Linked DNA regions of Struthio camelus. The main gene of each other region encodes a partner of the protein of the gene in region 3 in a complex. Links are inferred from orthologs where the notes say so. Each region holds a gene or a part of one and is shown on either strand. Other genes may lie near its edges.

Evidence for each region. The genes of interacting proteins can lie anywhere in the genome.
Region 1: the proteins of GINS3 (region 3) and GINS1 are in contact, whole or in part, in a cryo-EM structure (PDB 8Q6O), measured with the Xenopus laevis proteins. The link is inferred for Struthio camelus from reciprocal best matches to the Homo sapiens genes GINS3 and GINS1. Residues at the interface, in NP_001080618.1 of Xenopus laevis: Trp2, Pro4, Tyr5, Met6, Pro7, Val8, Glu16, Asn17, Phe18, Leu19, Ser20, Leu21, Glu22, Asp23, Leu24, Leu25, Ser27, Gln28, Ser37, Phe39, Pro40, Arg41, Leu42, Phe44, Leu45, Pro63, Trp65, Leu66, Gly69, Leu70; in NP_001085502.1 of Xenopus laevis: Met1, Phe2, Cys3, Glu4, Ile7, Ile10, Arg11, Leu13, Gln14, Ser17, Asp18, Gly19, Gln20, Leu21, Glu49, Arg55, Asp57, Leu58, Pro60, Thr61, Lys63, Phe64, Arg65, Cys67, Cys68, Arg71, Arg74, Cys75, Val77, Ala78.
Region 2: GINS3 (region 3) and MCM6 share a complex: the UniProt entries of both Homo sapiens proteins name them as parts of the CMG helicase complex. The link is inferred for Struthio camelus from reciprocal best matches to the Homo sapiens genes GINS3 and MCM6.

Annotation. Positions count from the first base shown.
Region 1 is NC_090944.1:139,909,461-139,917,206, forward strand, and holds the start of GINS1 (DNA replication complex GINS protein PSF1), read right to left. Parts: upstream 3,087-7,746; 5' UTR 3,035-3,086; coding exon 2,960-3,034; intron 2,884-2,959; coding exon 2,819-2,883; intron 2,707-2,818; coding exon 2,611-2,706; intron 2,296-2,610; coding exon 2,205-2,295; intron 2,101-2,204; coding exon of another isoform or gene 1,903-2,100; exon of another isoform or gene 1,694-1,902; intron 1,432-1,693; coding exon 1,315-1,431; intron 452-1,314; coding exon 377-451; intron 104-376; coding exon 35-103; 3' UTR 1-34. UniProt on the Homo sapiens protein: Required for correct functioning of the GINS complex, a complex that plays an essential role in the initiation of DNA replication, and progression of DNA replication forks.
Region 2 is NC_090947.1:38,880,004-38,887,692, reverse strand, and holds the start of MCM6 (DNA replication licensing factor MCM6), read left to right. Parts: upstream 1-4,603; 5' UTR 4,604-4,790; coding exon 4,791-4,903; intron 4,904-5,630; coding exon 5,631-5,777; intron 5,778-6,322; coding exon 6,323-6,433; intron 6,434-6,977; coding exon 6,978-7,227; intron 7,228-7,689. UniProt on the Homo sapiens protein: Acts as a component of the MCM2-7 complex (MCM complex) which is the replicative helicase essential for 'once per cell cycle' DNA replication initiation and elongation in eukaryotic cells.
Region 3 is NC_090951.1:30,426,988-30,434,576, forward strand, and holds the start of GINS3 (DNA replication complex GINS protein PSF3), read left to right. Parts: upstream 1-4,581; 5' UTR 4,582-4,996; coding exon 4,997-5,176; intron 5,177-6,259; coding exon 6,260-6,493; intron 6,494-7,589. Other genes in the region: diacylglycerol O-acyltransferase 1, read right to left, coding at 290-377, 2,540-2,646. UniProt on the Homo sapiens protein: Required for correct functioning of the GINS complex, a complex that plays an essential role in the initiation of DNA replication, and progression of DNA replication forks.

The sequences.
Region 1 (7,746 bases), on a different chromosome or scaffold from region 3:
GCCAGGGAAGGGCTGTCCCTCCGGTCCTGAACGCTTACGACAGGACGTGCTCCAGGACTCCTTGTCTGATTAACTGCTCGCATTTCCAGCGGGGTAAAAAATGCTGCACAAGAACACAGACAAACTTTCCCTGAGACCCAGGCCGCCTGGATGCGTTGCTGCAGGCGGCCTGCTCTGTGCTGCGCCGCCGTGTGTAGCAGTACGAGGTCAAACAGCGGTCCTGGGGCACGCAGGCGGCTTGCAGCGCGTGCGAGGCGCTGGGTGCAGCAACTGCAACGTGCTGCGAAGCTGGGATGAGCAGGGGAGCGTCACAGGAGCGCAGGGGAAGAGAAGGAGCAGGAAAGGGGTTAGGACCCCGCTCGGTTGTCTTTCGTACCTGGCTATTCTTCTTCAGCAGGACGGTGGTGCCATCATCAATCTCAAATTCGCCGTAGTCTTTTAAGCACCGCACCTGCAAAGGCAAAGGGCAGCTCTCTGCAGCAGCAGCTCTCCGACTGAGGAGCACGTCGCTGCCGACGTATCGCACACGCCCCCAAACTGTAAGTACGGGGCCGTTCCTGCCCGCCTGGCAGAGCCTCCGTCTGGGACAGGCACCTGAAACGCAAAACCAGATGGATCCCGTGGCCTGTTCCCTCTATCTGACCTTCTCTTCCTGCACCTGCCTGCCAGCGGGCAGCCCAGGCCCTCCACGGAGGCTGCTGGAAGAGCAGCGCTGCCAGGAGAGGCCCCCCCCACGCATGCCAGAAAATGCCAGGCTGTGAACGCCAGTGAAACCGTCTTCAGGGGCAGGTTTAGTTCCCCTAGAAAGTCTCTTCCTAAGAGACCATCAGAACACAGCGCTGCAGCTCCTGCCTCCGAATCCGTTGTTCAGGTGCTCGTGCTCTCTTGCATCAATTGTATAAAACAACGCTTAGTCTCATCCATGAAAGTCCATTTAAAACAACAACAAAGGAAACTAGTTGACAATCTTCAAGATGGGAACGAGGTTTCTAGTTGATCCAAAGAGTTTTTCGGGAGACAAAATTCAGTTTTTGCAAGACAAATGCTGCATAAAGTTTTCACAGTAATTCAGACCCCCCCCCCCCCCACACACACACACACCGGTTCCCTGCAGGTTGGAAATGCCATGTTTCAACATACTTTGAGCTCTCAGAAGAAGAGAGAGTAAAACACTGGCGGGCAGAGTTTATCGAATGGCTTTGCTCAGTGAACTCCCCAGCTCGGGAGGAAGCCGAGATCTCTAAAGGAGAGTGGCTCGGTCAAGTGCCTCCCGCCACCCCCAACGCAGACAGAAGCCGCCAGTCCTGCACTTACTTCGATGTACAGGCTTTTAGGAGGCTTTATGTCCTGCGTAAGGTCCAGCCCCTCCTCTCCGCCTACTGACCTCATGTAGGTGGCCAGAGATTTTTTGTACCGGTTGAACCACTCCACCTGTGGACATTAACAGCAAACAGAGCTTTATTTCAAGAGGCGGTTTTAAGCCTTTAAAAACAAAACTGCCGCGTTATCACCCACAGATGCAAGATTCTGCTACAAAAATCCAGACTAGCAGGACCAAAGGGATTTGCGCTACTGGGACTAACCAGCAGGGATTCTGCCTAGGACCCAGGGGTCTGCCCTTGCCACTCTTGGGACAAAAGTGATTCTCTCAAGTTTAAGATTAAAGAAGAACCTTTACTGAGAGAGACATCTCCATGCCCCCGCATAGCTAATGCTGAGGGAGGAGGTCCATGATGAATCGGCTCTGGTGTATCTGTGCTGTCAGACCACTGTTCCCAGGCGTGCTCATGCCAGCCGAAGGAGCGCACAAGCTCTTCTAAAGGGAATAAACTGCCCCAGGCACAGGGCAGCCGGGGATCAGACTGGGACACGTGCTGGAAACAAGATCAGCAGCGCTGTACTTCAGTTTACAAATGGCGTTTGAGACGAGCACAGGGAGAGCCTGCCGCGCCGGGTGCGAGGGCGATCGGGTGACGACCTTCTGATCCCGAACGGTGCCAAGCTGCGCCTGCACTCAGCATCCGTTTGGGATTGCATCCTTGGAAGGACAATGAGGAAACAAACGGATACTTGCAGAAAGGCACACAAAACATCGTGCATCTAGAGTGGAAAAAAAAAGTCTATCCTATTTTGACTCGGCTAACCTGATGGTTTCTGGGGAGGAATAAGTGGAAGGGAGGGAAAAGGGGACAAGGCTGACTCACTTCCTCCGCTGACATGTGAAACTGGATGGCGTTTGGCAGGACGCTGCCATACTCCCACCTGAGAGCGCGGATCCGCAGCAACCGGTCGTACCTGGGGGAAGAAAGAAGGGACAGAGAGAGAGAGAGAGAGAGAGAGAGAGAGAGAGACCTCGCTCCAAGGTCTCTCTGCTGAGACCAGCGCTGGCACTACACCTGGGCAATGCAGACACTCGGATCACTCCTCAAAGCAAAGTGCAAAACCGGGGTCGTTCCACCCTCCTTCCTTTCAAGGCGGTGGTTTTGGATCTATTTGCTAATTAAAAGCTTTCAGAGAGCAGGGGGGAAAGAGGGATGCTCCATGCCCCCGACAGCTGCTCTCTGCCGAGGGGCTGAGCCGGAGCGCCCGGTCCGGCACTGCCGCACTCACAGGTAGGCCACGACGCAGCGCTGGTTTCGGAGCAGGCAGCAGTGGCGAAACCGGATGAGGAAGATGAGGTCCGTCCGCCCCGACTTCGCTTCGGACCTGGAGAAGGAGGCGGCACGTTACGGCGGGGCAGACGCCGCTCCCGGTGCCGCCGGGCGTGCGGGGCTCGCCGCGGCCCGGCGGCGGGCACGGCCCGCGGCCCGGCACTCACACGTCCGCCTGGTTCCGCTCGTACAGCGCCCGCATCTCCTCCAGCGCCTGCCGCAGCCCCTCCGCCTGCGGCACCGACACGGTCAGCCCGGGGCCCTCGGGACCCCCGGGATCCCGGCCCGCCCCGCGGCCCCCCGCTCACCCGGAAGGGCGGCAGGTGCCCGCCGGCGGCGCGGTGCAGCTCCCGCACCAGCCCCGCCGCCCGCTCGCCGGCCATGCTGCCGCGGCGCGCGCGGGCGCGGGAAACCGGCCCCGCGGCCCAGCCAATGGGGGCCGCGGGCGGCGTGACGCGCCCCCGGGGGGCGGAGCGTTGGCCCCGGCGGCACCGCGCAGACAGGCGCACGCGATGGGGGGAGAGGGGGGGGCGGTAGCCAGCGTTAGGACGTTCCGCCCCCGGGGAGCGCGTCACGCCGGCTCCCGCTCCGCCCCCGGCCCCCATTGGCTGCGGCGGGGCCGGTTTCCCGCGCGCGCGCCGGGGCGGGAGCGGCGGGCGGCTGCGGGTGAGCGGGGCCGGGGGCGCGGCCGGGGCCGGGGGCGAGGGCGGGCGGCGCTGTGCCCGCCGGGCCGCGGCCGCGGCCAGCCCGGCAGGGCGGCGGCGGGTAACGCTCGTTGTCGCCGCGGTGACGCAGGGGTGGGCTCCGCGGTCGCCCGCGGGCCTCTGCCCAGCTCCAGGCCGCCCTGCCGCGACCCTCGCAGCCCGCCCGGGGGGCGCTCCGCGACGGCGGGAGCTGGATGACGGCTGGACGCTGCTTGCGCTGCGGACCCCAGCGCTGGAAGCCAGGGAAAGGGGTGAGGAAGGAGCCCAGATTCCCCCTGCGGCTGGCCCTTTCTGCTGCTCTCTGAGGGCCGGAGCTGGGAGCTGCCCTTCAGCCGCCAGCGGCGGCGCGGCGTCCTCCAGCCCGGCCGGGGCTCGTGTGTGGGACACAGCGAGCTCTGTCGCCGGGGCGGCGGGGAAAGCACCCGCTGCCCTGGTGTCGGTGCTGCAGTGGTCTCCAGGATCTCTCTCCAGCCCCCTCATCTGTGGGGTCTCCTGGCTCGCTCTCCAGCCCGCCCGGAGGATGCGCCGGGACAGCAGGAGGAGGCAGCGGGATCGTGTCCGTGGCGCCGTTGGGGCCGGCCGGGGAAGCGGGATGGAGACGCCGCTGTCGCCCCTCGGTGGGGAGCAGAGCCTGGCGCAGCGGGTGAGCAGGGAGGACCCGGAGCCGCGGCAATCAGCAGGTCTGTGGGAGCGGGACGGCCCCGGTGCCGCGGTCGACGCGTGTGCGCGGTGCCGGAGCGCGGCTGGGCGGGACGCCCCTGCCGGGGGCTCGGCGTGGCCGAGAGCGGCTTTCCCAGCCGCTCGCCCCGGGCCGGCTGCGCCGCGGGGCCGGCAGCGCCGCTGGGGAGCCCGGGCTGTCACAGCCCGGCCGGGGGGCTGGAGCTGGGGCCGCTCGCCGCGGAGGGCTGCAAAGCCGCCTGCAGCGCAGCCCCGGCCCTGCTCGGGGAAGCGGGGCTTTTGTCCCTGCTGGTGAGAAGCGCGAGCGCGCCTTGATTTTGCGATTTTGCCGGGCTGCGCGCCCTGTGCTGCCAGGTCCTGGTGGCGGGTCCCTGGCCCCTGGCAGCGCCCTCCCTGCCCGCTGCCGGGAGCCGCCTCGTGGGACGCCGGCTGCCGCCGCCCAGAGGCGCTGAAGGCGCTTTCCAGCCCCAGGAGGAGCAGACTTGCGGGTCGCCTCGGCGCACCCCTCGCGGAGGAGCCGCGGCAGGACGCAGCCCGCGCTCGCTCCGCTTCTGGGAGCTGCGTCCCACCTGGCTGCGCTGCTGCGCCGGGGACAAGCGCAGTGGGACCGTGCACGGGCGCAGCCCGCTGCGGGGTTTTGGCTCTGGGAAATAAATACACACTGGAGCGGTGCAGCCCCCCCCCCAGCAGCAGCAGCAGCGCGACACTCGCTGTGTTCAATCCAGGGTTTGTTTATTTAGCCCCAGCGCCGCTCTCAGCAGGCCCCTTCCTCGCCCGCCCTCCGCAGCCCCTGCTCGGGGCGACCTGCCTGCGACTGGAGCCCGGCACCATCTGCGCACCCTTGGGCGGGGGGGGGAGGCCACCGTCGCTGCAGAGACCATCTCCAGGGACGAATCCTGCCCCGGCATCCCCTGATCCCAGGGTTTGGGACTTGGCAGCCCCAGGGATACAAATATCTCACTGCACCCCCCCCCCCCCCCCGGGCTTGGCCTCTTTCTTAAAGGCATTGGGTCAGTGCTGGCAGAGACTAAGTGAGGTGTGTGGGGACAAAAAATCAGCGAGGCTTTTTTGCCCCCCCACAGCTCACTTAGTCCCTGTTGCGGAGGGGGCGTAGGCTTGAACCAGGCCCAGGGTAGGCTGGGGAGGGGGGGCCAACACCCTTCCCTCAGCCTCTCCCGGGCTCGGGCTCAGCCCCCGCCCCCCTCCACAAAAAAAGCCTCGCTGATTTTTTGCCCCCCCACACCTCACTTAGTCTCTCCCTGCACCGGCCCCATTGCTCCCAAGGGGATTTCTCCTCCTCTTCAACCCACCCACCTCGTGCCCTGTGCGGGGGGGTGAGCGGAGCGCTGGCTCGGAGCAGAGAGACCCTGTTTTCCCCCAAAGTGAACCCGGCTGCTACTGTTGGGGCTGTATCCAGCAGGGCCGAGCCAGGTGCAGTCCTGGGGGACGCGGGTCCGAGGACCGGGAGCTGCTGCCGGGGCCGAGCTGGAAAGGTCGCGTCCTTGCTGCGCTGCTGCGCCCCGCAAACGCGGTGGGCTCCCCCTGGGTCTTTGCCTCCTGCCCAGTCCAGCTGTTCAGGCTGGAACAGCCCTTTCCAGGGGGGTGAACCCAGACATTGACCCGCGGACGCTTTGCTCCCTTCGGGACCTGAAGCCCCCCGGGGCCTGAGGCAGCCGGTGCTCGCCCCAGCGCCCCGGGGACCGGGCTCCGCAGCTGCTGAGGACGCGGGCTGGGCCAGAAAAGCTCTTCGCTGCGACGGCAGCCCTGGCGCCGAGGCTGCCGGGCCTGTGGGGTTGCTGCCGGGGGCCTGTCCCGGCTGTCTGGCTGACGGCACCGCGCGTGCTGCAAGGGAAATAAAACATGCGGAAAAATATATTAAACCAGCCATAAAAAGGGGATGTGCTGTAAAACGACCCGCTCGGGCCCACAGCTGCCAGCGGTTCATCTGCACAGCGATCCCAGCCTCAGGATAACGGAGAGGCCACGTGAGCAGGCAGCTCGCTGTCCCGCCTAGAGCCACCATCAGTTTACTGCCCCTTCCCATAGGGCAGGATTGGCGATAGGACCTGACTGCCTCCTTGAACAGCAAAGAAAGCGGTTGAAAAATACCTGGTCAGAAACGTATTTGCATACTCCACGGGCAGATCGCCGCCTCCTGCAGCGGAGCCGTTCCACTTTTCCTTCCCCGTCAAACGCTTCGTCGGCGTGCCTGGAGACGCCACACTGAGGGACCGTCACCGTAACCTCAGGGAGAAAAGAAATAATAAAGATAGATGTCTATCGGCCACGGGCCTTCATTCTGGCGCTGTTTACACGCACGCAGTCTAACTTATCGTTACAGCTGGCAGAGCCATTTTTCATGTAAGCACAACTGTAGACGCTTCCTTAAGGCCTTGCGGGGGCCGCGCGCCCCTCCTCTAGCCAGGTGCAGCGCTCACGCAGGCATCGCCTTCCCCACACCCGTGCCTCAGTGAAACGAGCAAATGAATTATTGCATTACTGCTCGGTATATTTCAGCAGTCCTTAAAATCCTCAGATGAAATGAGGCCAAGGTCACGGTCAGAAAGCATCGTCTCAGAAGAATCGCGCGACTTACCCGGACGAGGCTGGCGAAGAGCGGCACGATTACTGCCGCGCTCTCCCTTTTGCGGACGGGAAGCTCGAGTCCGGCTCCCCGTTGTTTCGGAGGAAAACATACAGAGTCCCCCGAGTGAGTTAGCGCCAGATGCTTCACCGCCACCAGGTCCACCCGCGGCCGGGGCAGCGCCGGGCCGGCCAGCAGCTCGGACCCAGCAGCTCCATAGGGGCGCTTACAGCCAAAACAGCCTTTTCAAACCGCCGATCCACATGCTGTTAGAAGCCCTTAGCCTAAAGCTGCCCAAGGTGACAGGCCCGTGTTAGCACGGTGGCCCCTGTCCCCAAGCCTTCCTTTCCGTCAGGGTATTTAGGCTGAAGAACAGGACTCGGAGGGGCAGCAGCAGCCCAGGGCGCACACCGAGAGGAGGGCAGCAGCCGCATGTTGTCCACGGCCAGCGAGTAAGGCGGCACTCACGGGCCCGAGCGGCAGCGACAGCGATTCGGGTTATAAATCAGGGAAGCCTGTCCAACAGCACCAAGCCAAATCTACTGCGGAGGGCTTACAGCCTCCCAAAGCAGCGTGTTTACAGCAGGCTCGACAGAGCTGTGCGTTGTCATGTAACACAGGGAGCTGGACTAGGTGACTTCTCCCTATTTTTTTGGTCTTAGGTTATTTTCTTCATATTTCATCAGAGAACAGGTTTATTCCCAGGTTGAGTCACCTACCACCAACCAAGCCCCAGACTCGCACGGGTGCCAAGCGGGTGCACGCCGGACAAGCAAGCAGAGAAGTTCGCTTCTGTCGGGCGAAGCGACTGCGCCTAGGCCAAAATAAGCACCCCGCGTCACCCGTTCACCCCCGGGCAAAACGAGTCGGGGGCCGCACGAGACCTCGCCGGTTTGTTCGAGCCTGAGCACGCACCACGAAGCGGACCCGCGGCTGTGCCCGCGGCCAGCCCCGGGGATACAGCCGCGGCAGTCGGGAGATAATCAGTGATTTTAAAACACAAAAAAAAATCAGCCAAGGGAAGCGCCCGCGCAGGAGATCTACGCGCTGGGCGAGCACCAGCCCACGGCAGCAACAGACGAAGCGCGAGAGCCGCGTCGATGCTAGCTGCCCGCACGGCGATGCAGGT
Region 2 (7,689 bases), on a different chromosome or scaffold from region 3:
TTCAGTTACCTAGGAAAATAATCACTGAAGCATAACTTACAAGGAAAAGAATTTTTTTTTTCAAATATACAGAATTTGATGCCTGCATTGTGGTGAATGGCGCAGAGTCAAGTTGGAGGCCTGTAGCTAGTGGTGTCCCCCAGGGGTCAGTCCTGGGTCCAGTCTTGTTCCATGTATTCATCAGTGACCTGGAGGAAGGGACAGAGTGCACCCTCAGCAAGTTTGCTGATGATACTAAACTGGGGGGAGAGGCTAACACACCAGAAGACTGTGCTGCCATTCTGAGGGACCTGGACAGGCTGGAGAGGTGGGCGGAGAGGAACCTCCTGAAGTTCCACAAAGGCAAGTGCAGGGTCCTGCACCTAGGCAGGAATAATCCCATGCACCAGGACAGGCTGGGGGTTGACCTGCTGGAAAGTAGCTCTGCAGAGAAGGACCTGGGAGTGCTGGTGGACAACAAGTTAAACATGAGCCAGCAGTGTGCCCTTGTGGCCAAGAAGGCCAGTGGGATCCTGGGGTGCATTAGACAGAGTGTTGCCAGCAGGTGGAGGGAGGTGATCCTGCCCCTCTCCTCAGCCCTGGGGAGGCCTCACCTGGAGTACTGTGTCCAGTTCTGGGCTCCCCAGTACAAGAGAGACATGGCGCTCCTGGAGAGAGTCCAGCGGAGGGCTACCAAGATGATTAGAGGGCTGGAGCACCTCTCCTATGAAGAAAGACTGCAAGAGCTGGGCCTGTTCGGCCTGGAGAAGAGAAGACGGGGGGGGGGAATCTGATCAATGTGTACAAGTGTCTGAAGGGAGGGGGGTGTCAAGAGGATGAGGCCAGCCTCTTCTCCGTGGTGCCAAGTGACAGGACGAGAGGCACCGGGCACAAACTGAACCACAGGGAGTTCCATCTGAACACAAGGAGAAACTTCTTTCCTGTGAGGGTGACAGAGCACTGGCACGGGTTGCCCAGAGAGGTTGTGGAGTCTCCTTCCCTGGAGATGTTCAGAAGCCGTCTAGACACGATCCTGAGTAACGTGCTCTAGAGGCCCCTGCTTGAGCAGGGGGGTTGGACTAGATGGTCTCCAGAGGTTCCTTCCAACCTAAACGATTCTGTGATTCTGTGATTCATATTATTTATATTTCCAAGGGTCTGTGTCTACAGCTAGATATAGAAAATACTGTTAATGACCTAGAGATTAAAAGCAAGCAAAAATGATGAACAAACGTCATGGTCTCTTCTTCTATTTTCTTTTAGCAGCATTCCCCAAATCCACAATTACCTGTGAAAGGGAAGCTCTAAACAGGTTAATTCCGCTAGACAGCAATGGTCTCTTCTGATATGATACTAAACTATAAGGTGTTAAAAGAGTTCACTTACTTGTCTTTAATCTTACTAACTCAAAAGTCTTGCATGCTTTCATTGCAATGACTACAAGGTTATAGTTGTTTCATGTTCTGTGTACTTCCAAAAAACCCTGATATTCTTGCAGATTTGTCTCCTGAAGCTTGAAATGATTTGTTTTTTTAACTCATTCATAAGGTAATTGCATAAGTTTAATCAGCTTTTACTTTATGTAGAAGGAAAAGTGTTTCAGTCACACACTGTGCTCCTAACTTTGTATTCTCATCCTTTATCCCTTACGGTTTTCCCGATAATAATAAAATGAAGATTAAACAACTCTGAAAGACTTCTCTTGTAGGAAGACCTTTCTCAGAGAAAATACCAAGCTCCATCTGTTTCAGTTTCCAAACAAAATTTGTAGAGTCTTTCAGAGTCTTTTCTCAGCTGTGGGTTATGTGTGATTTCCCCCACCCCATCCCTTACTGTGCTGCTTTTACTAATACAGTGACCAAGAACTAAAAGAGAACAGACGGGCTGGGAGCATGTCAGCTGGATTCTACTGCTGCTGCTATCCTGTTACCAACTGATGGCAAGATACACAGCCTCCTCTCACTTCAGTTCTCACAACCTGGGCATGTTGCTTCCCACTGCTATATCTGAATGGTGAGCTTATCTTTATCAGACGCTTTAGAAGCACTAGAGATGTTTGCATAGAAGTACTTTTTAATTACTTTTAATTGCTCTTTCCACAACCCAGACCTGTTGTGCTCATGCATGATCAGGTCAGACTCATTACAGCTGTGGGACAAAGTAGAATCCAAACAAATAACTTCCCTGGACTAGGACAGCTTCACGCAAGGCCAGCTCAGGTTTATCTGTATTTTAATCTAAATACTGAGAACACAGTGCAAACACACTTAAGTGTTTCTAGGTAGAGACAGCCGGCTTCGCTCAGACTTATTAGCTCTGTCTCAACAGTAGAACTCTAAGCAGGAGCAAGATGGTGGGAAGCAACTGGATCCTGTGCAACAAAGAGCCAATTTCCTCATATAAGGCTTGAGCATGAAAATGTTGGCTACTGCTAGGAAACTACAACAAAGAGCAGTTAAGTTTCAGCTAAAGTGACTCATCTGCAGAGGGATAAATATAATCACCTATGTATGTCACTTGTGCAGCGTCCCTTAGGGCAATCTCTGGAGAAATGTCTGCATTAATCATTGACTTTAGTTCTTCAGCTGTTCAAATCAACAGCCTCAATCAGCAGCCATGCCTCAGATACCTAAGCAGAAATCGCAACTTTGAGTCCTCTAACATAGAGAAAGCAAAATGATACACAGGAAATCCTGTGAATGTCAAGGGCCACTGGGTTTGTTTGTTTTTTCAATGCAACAATGATTTCTTAAGGGCTTTGGATTACAACAAGTTTTACAGCAGTGATAAACCCTTCAAAAAGCTGATAAGGGAGAGAACAAGAGCTTAACTAAACAACAAGCAGGAGGGCCTCATGAGGGGTCACCTGGCCCCAGCTGATTGTTTACAAATATGTGTCATGTAGAGGCAGCTGTCAACACACCACCGTCTCTGAAATGAGGCTCATGAGGATGACAGGAAAAAACTTTCAGACTGTAGGCAGTAAGGTAAGTACTTCAGCCTTTTAGCTCTTGTGTGGCTACAAGAACAAATCTGTATTCTTTCCAAGGCAAGCCTTCCTCTCTACGGCTATAATGGAAACAAATTCTCCCTACAGTGCACTGAGTTAGCTGTTACCCAACCCTGCAAAGCTTGAGGAAGGAGTTCTGCTCTCTGAAAAAAAGATGTGTTTTCTTGACAGTCATAACTTGAGTATGACTTACACAAACAGATTAAGTATTTGCTATTCCTTGTTTGGGTATTATCAGGGTATGCTTGGGGGATGGGGGAGAAATCATTCAAGATTGTCCCTGGTTAGGGTTTTTTTTGGTAGAGAAAAATGATGAAGAACAGCACAAATGATTGTTCTAGGGTGAATTATGATTTGTTTTAAAAACAAACAAGCGTCAGAATTAACACGCTGTTGTGCACACTTTTGCTAATACAAACAAGAATGGAACTTACTCACTACAAATCTTTTAGGAAGTAGTTAGTTCTAATATTTTCTTGTTTTCTTTGAATATAACAACACTACTGCAGGAAGTTTGTGCTGCTGGTACATTTTTAAGTATCTCAGAAACAAAAACAAAAAAAAAATTCAGTCCTCAGCTGCCTTAATCACAGCAGAAGTACCATCCAGTGTAGGTGGAGAAATTAATGTCTTTCCAGGTAGCAGAGCAATTCCAAGCAATTCTTCATTAAAATAGTTGCTGCTGGCACCTATTGCCAGCATCAGCCACCAGCAGTCGCTCAGGGGCAGCTGTCAGTCATGGCATCACTTGACAAACATTACATTATACTATCACACAGTTAAGCGCTGCATTACAAATGGAGCTAAGTAACTCCAAACCAAGGCCTGATTCTCACCTGGTTTAAAGCAGGCTCTTTTCACATGAGGCTAGTCTTTCACAAGCAGAAGGTGTTGTTGAAACACTGCAGCCCATCTTTGCCGGCGAGAAGGGCCCACAGCTGCCCGAGCAGTCACCCTCACACAGTGCAGGGCACACAGCACCCTGATTCTTCACCACTGCCCTGGATGTACCAGCAGAGTTTTAACCGCAATTATTCTAACTTTTTTCCTTCTCTAGGAAACCAGCAAACTGTAAAAGTCAGACCAGCCTAACGCTGTGCTAATTTGATCCAGATGAGGCTAACACACACCAGCCCACCAAGCTGCAAAGCCACGAGTAGTTACTATAATCACACATGGCAGGCACCTCCTTGCTCAGAGAATACATTTTTCTGTCACAGATTTAAGTCTTCAACTGCATTTACAAGTTCATTGAGCAGAAGCACAGCACCACGGCAGGGGTAACCGCTGTTGTGGGGCACAGGGCGCTGACGACAGCGGTCAGGGTCAGTTCCCCAAACCCCGAGCAGCCGCCAGCCCTGTAACACCCGGGCAGTTACCTAGAGCCCTACCGCAGCCTACATCCAGCCTCTTTAAGCCTTTCCCCTTGGGGGGGGGGGGGGAGGGGGCAGAAATTCACCTTTCCACACAAGGCGTCCCGCCCCCGCGGCGGACTAACGGCCGACCAACGGCCGCCGCCGCGCGCACGCGCGCAGCGTGACCCCGCCTCGCGCCAGCCCTGACGCCATCGCGTTTGGCGCGAAAGCGTCCGCGCGGGAGAGGGTGTGGGGGGGGTGGTGTGTGGAGGGCCGGCGGGGCGGGGCGGGGCTCTGCGGGTCGGCGGCCGCCGATTGGCCGGCGCGGCGGAGCACGTGGGTCCCGCTGTGGCGCGAACCGTTGCCGGGTGCGTGTGGCGGCGGCGGCGGCAGCGGCAGCGGCAGCGGCAGCGGCAGCAGCAGCAGCAGCAGCAGCAGCAGCAGCGATGGACCTGGCGGCCGTGGCGGGGGGCGACGCGGGCGCGGCGCAGTCGCAGCCACAGCTCCGCGATGAGGTGGCCGAGAAGTGCCAGAAGTTGTTCCAGGACTTCTTGGAGGAGTGAGTGCGGCCGGGCGGCGGCGGGCCGCGGGGTGCAGGCGCCTCAGGGAGGAGGCCGCCATTTGGCGAGGGCCGGAGCGCGGCGGGCCCCCCCCGCCCTCAGGCGGGAGCGCCCCTCCCCGGCCGCTTGGGCTCACCGCTGAGGGCCCTCTCTGTTGCGCTGCGGGTTGTCAGCCTCGGAAGGGGCGCCGGGAGGCAGCGGGCGGCTCTCCCTCCATTTGCAAAACCCCTGCGAGCTCGCTTCTGCTGCAGCTCTTCTTTCAGGCCTCTTCGCTTGGTCGCTTTTCGCAAAGTTTGGTGGCTGCCAGCTTCAAAATCCCCCTCGCGCCTTGCTTCCGGCAAGTTAATACGTTGGACTTCCGAGGCTTCGCTTTCCAGGGGGTCCTTTAGCACAAACAAGGAACCTGGGAGCGCGATCGGCCCCAAGGAAGCCAAACCCGTTCGCTTCGGTAGAGTCATCCTTAAACCATAAATAAAATCCCGGGTGATAAACCAGCTATGTGAAATGCAGACCCGGTTCTTTCTGTCTGGGGCCTTTATAGAAGAAAGGGGACAGGAGGAAAGAGGCTGTTGGGAAAGACATTTGCAAGGGAATGTGGGATGCTGTGTTTTTCCGGGATGCCCCGCGGCATATCCTTTCCTTCTTCTCCTCTGTGGCGTTCAGAAGCGTTCAACTGCTGCCCCATGTATAACTGCGAATGTTTTCTTGAACCATACTCGCTTTCAGGTTCCAGAACAGCGACGGGGAGGTCAAATACTTGCGTGATGCTGAAGAACTGATTCGGCCAGAGCGGAACACGCTGATCGTAAGCTTTGTGGATTTGGAGCAGTTCAATCAGCAGCTTTCTACCACTGTTCAGGAGGAGTTTTACAGGTAAAACGTAGAGATTACCTGAGAGCCGAGCAATGCAGTCTCAGGCCCATAAGGTCTTAACAAATATTCATCTGCTTTCACTAGGGTGAAAACTCTTACCATTTAAAACATGTTTTTTATTGGATCAAAACTTTTTTTTTTCTTACCGGACTGATACTTATTACTTCTGTCTCTTTAAGAAGCACGACTTAACTAGGCAATTGCATTTACTCTGGTAAATAGGTGATCAGTATGGAAACATAGTGTAAACTTTAGCACTTCTTACTCTGAAAATGTTTTATTGATCCAATGACTGATTTTCAGGCTCTACCACTTATTATATGGGTAAACTGGCATAAAATAAGCCTCCTTGGATAATAAAGCAAATGGTAATATGCAGTAGTCTCACATTTAGCATATTTAGACTAGCTTTGGTGTGTTCTTATATAGTGTGGCAGTATAAGACAGAACCTGCAAATGGATGGTACAAGCCTTTGACACAGGCTAAAGTGAAAAAGACATTGTGATAGTTTCTGTAAAATTTGAGCTTATTTTCTGTCTTTCAGAGTTTATCCTTATCTCTGCCGAGCAGTAAAGACTTTTGCCAGAGACCATGGAAATGTTCCTTCAAACAAGGACTTTTATGTCGCATTCCAAGATCTACCTACCAGACACAAGTAAGATGGTTACTGATTCCAAAAACTGGTGTACTTATGTGTGGGGAAAGAAATGTTCAAGCATACTGAAAATGTTTTGACTGTGTAGCAAGAAATTTCCAGTTTATCAGTGCAATTGTGAAGAAATTGCCTAATCTTGTGCAGAGTATGTTCTGAAACACTTCATCTTCTATGAATCATGCAGACACTGGGCTAGATGGGAAGGGACTATATCACTAACGTTCACTATGTCTCTAATATATCACTCTCACTAATATCACTATGTTCATCATATTCGGCAGACACATGTAGCTTGTCTTTTTGAAAAAGGATTTAGGTTAAGTTATTTTTTGAAGCACAACTGAAGTAACTTTTAGATGAATATTTAAGCTCAAACCAATATTAAAAGTTTCTGTACAGTCATAAAATGAGAAAACATTGTAGCTGTTCTTTAATCACAGACTGCTGAAACTACCTAGTGTCTTAGTACTTGAATACTACACTGGGCATAAAAATGCCAATTCAACTAAGAACTCAATCCCTATCAATTTCGTGTTTTAAACAGAATTCGAGAATTGACATCAGCAAAAATTGGCTCACTGATGCGTATCAGTGGACAGGTGGTACGTACCCACCCAGTTCATCCCGAACTTGTGAGTGGAACCTTCCTATGCCTAGACTGTCAGACAGTGATTAAAGACGTGGAACAGCAATTTAAGTACACGCAACCAAATATCTGCAGAAACCCAGTCTGTGCCAACAGAAGGAGATTCCTGCTGGACACAAACAAATCAAGATTTGTTGACTTCCAAAAGGTATATTGGTGGGGGGTGTGGGGAGGGACTAATAAAGACTTTCCTGTGCTAGTTGAAAGGGTATTGTTTGCACTGCTACACATTGATGGTAGTTAATTTTAGTTCTGTCAGCATCAAGAAAAGGCCTCAAGAAAATGCATGGGAGTTTCTACTAACAGTTTCTTTCTGTCTATGGAAGACTTATTTTTAAGCCTTGGGAAGTTATAAATAGAATCAAAGCAGCTTTATCACATGACATTTATTTTCTAAGTAAGCCAGAAAAAGCCCACATATTTAGGTCACTGTCAGTCTCCTCTGGCAGGTTCATCAAGTATAATTATTTTATACAAGTATAAAAAGAAGTGTCTCTAGTCTCTTCAGTGTTTCACTCCTTTAGATTGTTTTACTTTGCCAAATCCTCCATGCATCAAATCTTACAATAATATTTTGCATTTGTCCCATTAATTGGAATGTTTTAAGTGT
Region 3 (7,589 bases):
AATCTTGCCCCTTTGAAATCTACTGCAGAAATACAGCGCTGTGCGTTAATCAGTAATTTTCTTAATTATTTGCTGAAGATAGTCATCACAATTTCCATTTCTAAACCAAAAGAATAGTAAATTGGCACCCTGGGAACTCCAAATGCAAGAGCTTAGGCGAGAAGCACCAAAAATTTTTGCCAGTATTCCCATTAAAATCACGAAAGGTTTTAGCTGCATGGCACCACTTCTTAAATGAGAAACCTTCATCAGATGCCTGCTACTGATCTAGTTGTGACTTTCCACTTACCAGCAGAACTACAGACCAGTTAAAAATGCCTTGGAAATTGTTGAATCCACTCCCACATGATAACAGAGATTCACACAGTGAATGACAGCTGGGAAAAAATATTGAAGAGTTCTAGAAATGATTCTATTTTCACTTTGTTATTAAAAATGCTGTTTGCAATACTAACTATAACATCTGGTTTACCTCATCACTTTAATTTTCCTTTTCGGTAGGTACTTAAAGGAGTTTGAAATTAATTTTACAAGCTGGCCAGAGATCCTGCTGACATTGCTACCTTCTGTCTGAAAGATGATAACTAGAAGCTGGGAAACCAAGTTCTACTTTTGCCTTCCCACAGGATGCTTGGTAACCCTAAATCCCTTCCCTTTTTCTGTGGCCGTTCTCCTATCTGCAAAATGTGCCATGATTCTCCTCCCTTCCTCCACATGAAAAGACATGATACTTTGAGATGTAAACCTGACCATGGTAGATCATTAATAACATTGCCAAATCTCTCCCATTTGCAGATGAACTGAACCGGCAGGTGATTATCTCCACAGTTTAACTAGTGACTTGTGCTGCTTCCCCTTTTCCTTCAAAAAATAAAATTGCTACTAGACTGCAGAATCTATCTGTTAGAGAGCAGTATTTATTCATATGACATAGCACTTAACTCTCTTACAGGTAATCCAACTGAAGCCAATAGGTTTATTTGAGTTATAGGTCCATATTTGCACAACAAAGGGCTTGCAAAAGCTTGTATCAAAAATACAATATGGCATTACTTACAAAGAATAACTCCCATTGCCAGGCAAGTTAACTGATTAGGAAATGCAAATCTATTCTTATGAGTTGAAGTCCCAGAAGGAAAAGGGAGGGTCTGAGCCATCTCAGAAAGGGCAGGAATGTAGGCGGAGGGCCTGAGGTACAATCTGCTGCCTTCCCTCAGCCCCCACATCGTGAAATGGAAACCTCTGCTCGCAGATGTGTGCATGCCACACACCTGAGTGGTCCCTGTGCACCTGGGAAGCTTTCAGCCAGGCCTGGCTTCACTGGAATCAGTGGTCTCATTTAGGGACATGAAGACAGCCAGGATCCCTGCCATTGTTTCTAATTACTTGATAACAAACACAAATAGTAAAAGCAAGTCGTGCTATAAGCATATATGGCACTTGAGACTCCAAATGAGAGGAGAAGTAGGCTCAGTTTCAGACTTTGTCTGTGCTGTTGAGACTGATGTTTCCCCTCTCACTTTGATTTTGAAAAGTCAGGTGAGGAGAGGTGGCAGGGAGTGGTACCTCCTGCTCTAATGCCTGCCCCAGTAATCTCATCAATATCCTGCTGCTTCTTCAGTTGTTTCATTTCATGTCTTTAATCTTATTTAAATTACCCAAGACAGCAGCACCAGCTGACACTGTCAGAACAGCACATACACATGCTGTCACATCACATCGCAGCAACTGCAACATCCATATCATACACGCCAGCCAGCTCTGATCAAATGCAAGTCCCTAGAAGCAGCAAGTAGTACAGTTTTGCTTCCCTGAGCTTATCTGAGATATTAAATAGGCTCAATTTCCTGATATTTGAGACTTAAGAAGTCCATAGGTGGGATTCAGCTACTGTCCCTTGCTTTCTAAGTTTTTATTCTTTCCTCTACTTTTCCCTGGCCTCAATTTATCTACCATACCTGGGAGTGATGTGTTTTTTACCCATCACAGTCAACGCTTCAGTAGTATTTTGCTCTGCTGTCCTCAGGTTTTGGCAGCTGCTCTCCCTCACCACCTCCCTCCCTCCTCCACCATCTTCTCTCAACATTTCTTTCTCTTTCTTCTTCTTAGCACACTTCTGCTCCCTTCTCTATTCTGCTTATTGAACAATTCTTGTCTCTTCAAAGCTACAAATGCAGGAGGAGAAGGAGGCCTCCAGCTTATACATACACAATGTACAAGCAGGGTCAGTTATAACACAAGCCGTTCCCTTTCTTTCAGAGAGGTCTTGAAATCATATTTATTAAAACAGAAAATGGTTTGGGATGTTGGACTGATTATGCATAGTTTTAAATTAAGATTCACTCACAAGCGTTCAAGGATAAGAGCCTTCCTATACCTTTCTCGGGATGGGAAGGCAAACTGGTAGTATGAAAAGGGGAGACGTTTGCTTGCCAAATCCATCGTTCTTTACAATTCACACAGAACAACTCATCAGCTGATCTTACAATGAGTGAAAAGATCTTCCCCTTTGAGATCTTCCTTCAAGTTTGTCCAATACCTTAGTCTCTCTGGGTCTTCATGCCTTACTTCAGTACCACATGCTACAGGCTGAGGCATCTCAGGACATAGAAAAAGGGTAGTTTTCTTTCTTCTTCTTGTAGACATCTTACTTCTGCACCCTAGGAAAAGAGCTTATTCCAGTTATGTAGCTTTCTTCTCACTCAAACAGTGCAAGCTTTCATATTTAGCATAGAGTTTTGTTCCTTAAACCCAGTTAATCAGGGAATATCCTTATTAATTAGTAATCCTTATTAATCCTTATTGATTAATTAATTAATCAGTAAATTATAATTTTATCAGAACTATCCTTTAAAAAATGCTTCTGTAAATTGCCCTGTAACTCATTTGGAAAATGTGCAACGACAGAAATATTTATTTTCTAAAAGGAAAGATTTCTTCTCGCATTGAAAAAAACAGGACCATAGTTAAGATTGTTCCCTGTAATAAAATGTCTATTTTCTGTGCCATGGATAAAAATTCAGTGTCTTACTACAAATTACCTTTTACACAAACTCTTTTCAGGAGCAGGCAGTGGCCTTCCAGCTGTTTTCAAGATTTAAGGCACCTTATTAATGGGAAAAGGGGGCATTACAAAATCCAATATATGCACATGTGTGTGGGTGTCACATTTACATACACATGTGCATATATTTCTTCTGCTCACTGGTCTCTACCCCTGCTACTTGTCTAACAAATTGACAGCACTTAGATTTTCACAAATCCAGCATACCACAGTTCCCCTAAACCTGCTGCTTCGTAGTTAGCTGGCTGTATTTGTATAGCATGTATTGCCATGGTACCTAAGGGATGTGCAGATGATGGAAGTGCCTCATCCTAACGGCTCAGGCTCTGCAGCTTTATTTTTCTTTCACTGTTATTTTCTTAGTACAAGATAAAATAGTACAAGATTTAATAAACTGGTGCAAATTTTGACTGTTTTGTCGTTTGACTTTGATCAAGATATTAAAGTACCAGTGTGCTCATTAATGAAGCCAAAAAAAAAGAAGAATCAAATCGCAGCAAATCCAGGTTGAGCAAACAGCAGGGCAGGGAACGCCGAGGTCACCAGAATCATAAGATAATTGAAGAGACATTATCTTACACCTTAGTTACATACTGAAAATGTTTTTAAACAAATCATCAGAATCCCTACAAATAACTGTCATTATTTTTTGGGGGCAGTGTCAGGTCTCGGGGTTGCAGCGCTGCTCAGCTGCTTGCTCCTCTTCCCGAGCGGAGCAGCTACACGCGATGGGAGGCAGAGGCTGCAGTATTTACTCGGTATTTTAAATAACCTGACTTTACAGATCGTCGTGCATATAGAGCACAGCGTTTGCAGCATTCACGGCTCAAGGAAGAGCAAGGCAACTTTAATGCGGTGAAGAATGAACTCAAACAAAAGCACAGGGTCCGATTCCAGTTTGCTACTTCAACACATATCTGAGGTAAAATCCAGATAAAACCAGAGGGCAACACTGGCTTGATGCTAGCACAGCCAAGATCAGGACGCAGCCCAGAGCGTTTGATCCCACCATCGCAATGCGCCTCCATTAGGGGCGCAGGGCAGGCTCGGCGGCACAGTCGGGGAGCGGGGCGCCGCCGTGACGGACCGCCACCGGGCCGGGCCGCAACCGCCCGCGGGCGCGGGGCCCTGCCGGGGCGGGGCGGTACCACGGGCCGGGCCGGGCCGGGGCTGTGCCCATGGGGGCGAGGTCTGTGTCGTCGCGAGGGCTGCGAGGACGGGGCGTGCCTGAGGGGACGGGGCTCTGCCTAGCAGGGAGCAGCCTGGAGGCAGGCCTGTGCCGCCGAGGGGGCCTGGCTACAGCTGTGAGGGGCCTGGGGGCGGGGCTATGCCTCAGGGGCCCGGGCTCTGCCGAGGCGAGAGGGTCTGGGGGCGGGGCTGCGCTCGTGGAGGGGCCCTTGGGCGGGGCTGTGCCCGGTAGGAGGCGTGGCTATGGCTGAAGGGGTGGGCCCGTGCCCAAGGGGCGGGGCGGAGCCCCGGAGGGCCGGCTGTGCCCCCGTTACTCACCGGGAGCCCCCGCCCTCACATGCTGCGCCTCCCGTTGCCCAACGTCCCGCCGGCAGTTACCGGCCGCCCCGCCCCGCTTCCGGCGGCGCCGCGCGCGTTCGGAGCCGTCTCTCCCCCGGCCCCCGCCGGCGTTGCGGCGTGAGGGCCGCGCAAGAGCGCCGCGGCGGGGGGAGGCACCTGCTTTGGGCTCTCCCGGTGCGGGGGGACGGGGACGGACAGCGCCGCTACCCCTCCTACTGGAGCCGGCCCGGCGGGGACTGTCGGTGCCTATCCTGCGGTCGCTAATCGTTTGCTCCCGCCTCCCGAGGAGTCCCCAGGACGCATGCGCCAGGGCGCGCTTTCTGGCCGCAGCTGATAGAGTCTGCCCGAGTGAGCGGGAGCCGCGGCCTGAGGTGTCCGGGCCGCTTCGCGTCCGCTCGCCTTGCCATGTCCGAGGCGTATTTCCCCGTGGGCCCCGGGCTGGGGCCCGAGGAGAACTTTCTGTCGCTGGACGACATCCTCATGTCGCAGGAGAAGCTGCCGGGCCGCGCCGAGAGCACCCTGCCCCGCCTGGCCTTCGCGTTGGGCCAAGGAGCCGGCGCCGGTCCGGGTGACTCCATTCCTGAGGTAACCGTCGGGCGAGGGCAGCAGGAACTACAACTGCCAGCAGCGGCCGCGGGGCGCGGGCGGGCACCTGTGCGGCGGCGCGGGGTACACTGGGAGCTGTAGGCGCCGCCCCACCGAGCTGTGGCATGGGACAGTGTAGCGTGGAGCTGCTGACGGGAGATCTCCCCAGCAGGTTCCCCCGGTATCCCTCTGCCTCTCGTTAGATCAGGAATCGGCCCTGGTGGCTTTGCAATCTGATGCCTCGGGCTGCGTGTGGTTTTGGTACAGAAGCCTGTACCCTGCTCTGGTTGCAGCATGGGACCTTTGAGATGCTTGGTGAAATCGGAGGACAAGCTGTAAGGGAAGAAAGCATCTGTATGGCACGTCCTGTGTCTGAGCAGAGCATGCCACTGAGCCGATTTATGTAGCTAGAATTTTCCTTCACTTCTCAAGCGTTTTGTAGTCTTATTTCTCCTAAATGTTACAAAGAGGCAAGAACCCTAGGAAGTATGGATTCCCTCTTCACTTTGAACCCTAGTGGAATGGTTCCCTGGCTCGTGCATCCAGTGTTCAAGCTGTAGGGCATGGCTGCTGTTCCCATGTGGGCTCAGAGAGCTCATGGGTTCGCCACGATACTGCAGACTTCTTTCCATGTGTTGCAGGCTCCAGATGGGGCCCTGGACTGATCTGGGGCCCTAGTGCTGAAAAGACTTGCGTTTCAAGTTATTTTCTTGAAAAACAACCTCCCTCTTGCTGCGAGGATAACATACGAGTGATTTTTTTTGCCTCTGTTTTTAGGGGTGCTGGAAAGAAACTTTTAGCTGTTGTTGTATCTTTTATCTTTGTTGTAGTCATTTTGCACCTTTTTCTTCCTGCGTTTCATAGTCTCCTATCCACTCCAATAAAATGCTTTCAGAGTCTGGCAGAAATAATTAATGCCTCTGAAGTGCATCTATTTCATATTTTCGCCACAGTAGAATTTTGTAAACAGAACTGACTTTTTGTAATACTTTATTCTTCATTATTAAAGCTCACTGTCTTTTTGGGGGGTTTATACGTATTTTCCTGGGGAGGACAACTTTTGTTTCTGTCACATTCATGCAGGGATCAAAGCTAGAAATACCTCTGTGGCTTGCTAAAGGGTTACATGACAGCAAGAGAAGAATAATTTCTATGGAACTGCCAAAGATTTACAAGGAGGCCTGGAGGACAGTGTTCAGTGCTGATGCCAATGTGGTTGATCTGCATAAAATGGGACCATACTACTATGGATTTGGCTCCCAGCTCCTGAACTTTGACAATCCAGAGAATCCTGAGATAGCTCAGACTATCTTGCAGGCAAGTAATTGAACTAAGTCATGGAATTTCATTTGATGTTTTTCCATCTTTTCCTTGTTCCCAACTGCTCTGCAATACCCAGAAAAAATATTCTGTTTTAATCCAGATGACTTTTGACTTGAGAAAGGATTTCTAGATCAGGCTGTGTGATCGTTTTTGTCAACTGCAGAGCCTGGTGCAGTTAATGGAAGTCCCAAGCATGCATCCAGGAGTGTAGCTTTAGCTTGGAATTTTCTACTGTAAATATGACATTTCATAAAAATACAATAAAACAGGACTAGAGGAGAGGTAAGATTATTTAGTCAGTGCCCTTGCTCCGAGGCAGAATGAATTCGCCCTATATTATTTCTATTTATCTAACTTTTTTTGAAGCTCCCTAATGATGGGAGGTTTCACAACCTCCCTTGGCAATCTTGTTTCAGTGCTTTACTGTCCTGGTCTTAGAAGGCTCCCTCTATTGTCTAAACTAAATCTCCTTTGCTCCAATATAAGCTCTGTTCTATTCGTTCCATCCAAAGTAAACACAGTGAACAGATTATTCTCTTCCTTCCTGCAATAGGCTTTTTTGTATTTGAACGTTGTTGAGTGTGTTCCCAGTCCTGGTTTCTCCACACTGGAATAAATGGTCCCAATTCATTCAGTATCGCATTGTGGGTCATGCTTTCTAGCCTTTACTTGTCCTTATTGTGCACTGCTGGAGCCTTTCCAGTTGATATGCATCTGCTTTGAAGTGCAGTGCTCTGAACAGCATACATTCTCCTGCTTCAGCCTTGCCTTGTGCTGATGAAAACAAAACAAAAAAAAAATTACTTTATGAATTTCTTAGGCCATGCTGCAGTTTGTTCATTCTGATGCAGCACTCTTGTTTTTCATAATAGCTTGACATTGATGCACATTCAGATTGCAGTCCACAGTGAAATGGTATAGATTGCGTACCCAGACCATTGTTCTTCATCCTGTATTTGCTGTTGTTTTCAGACCATATCTCTAATTTGTCAGGATAATTATGAATTACAGTTCTACCCCCCCAGCATGCTTGCAGTCATTCCTCCTCCTCCCTCATGTCGTTTGCAAACTTAATAAGCATAATTTGTAT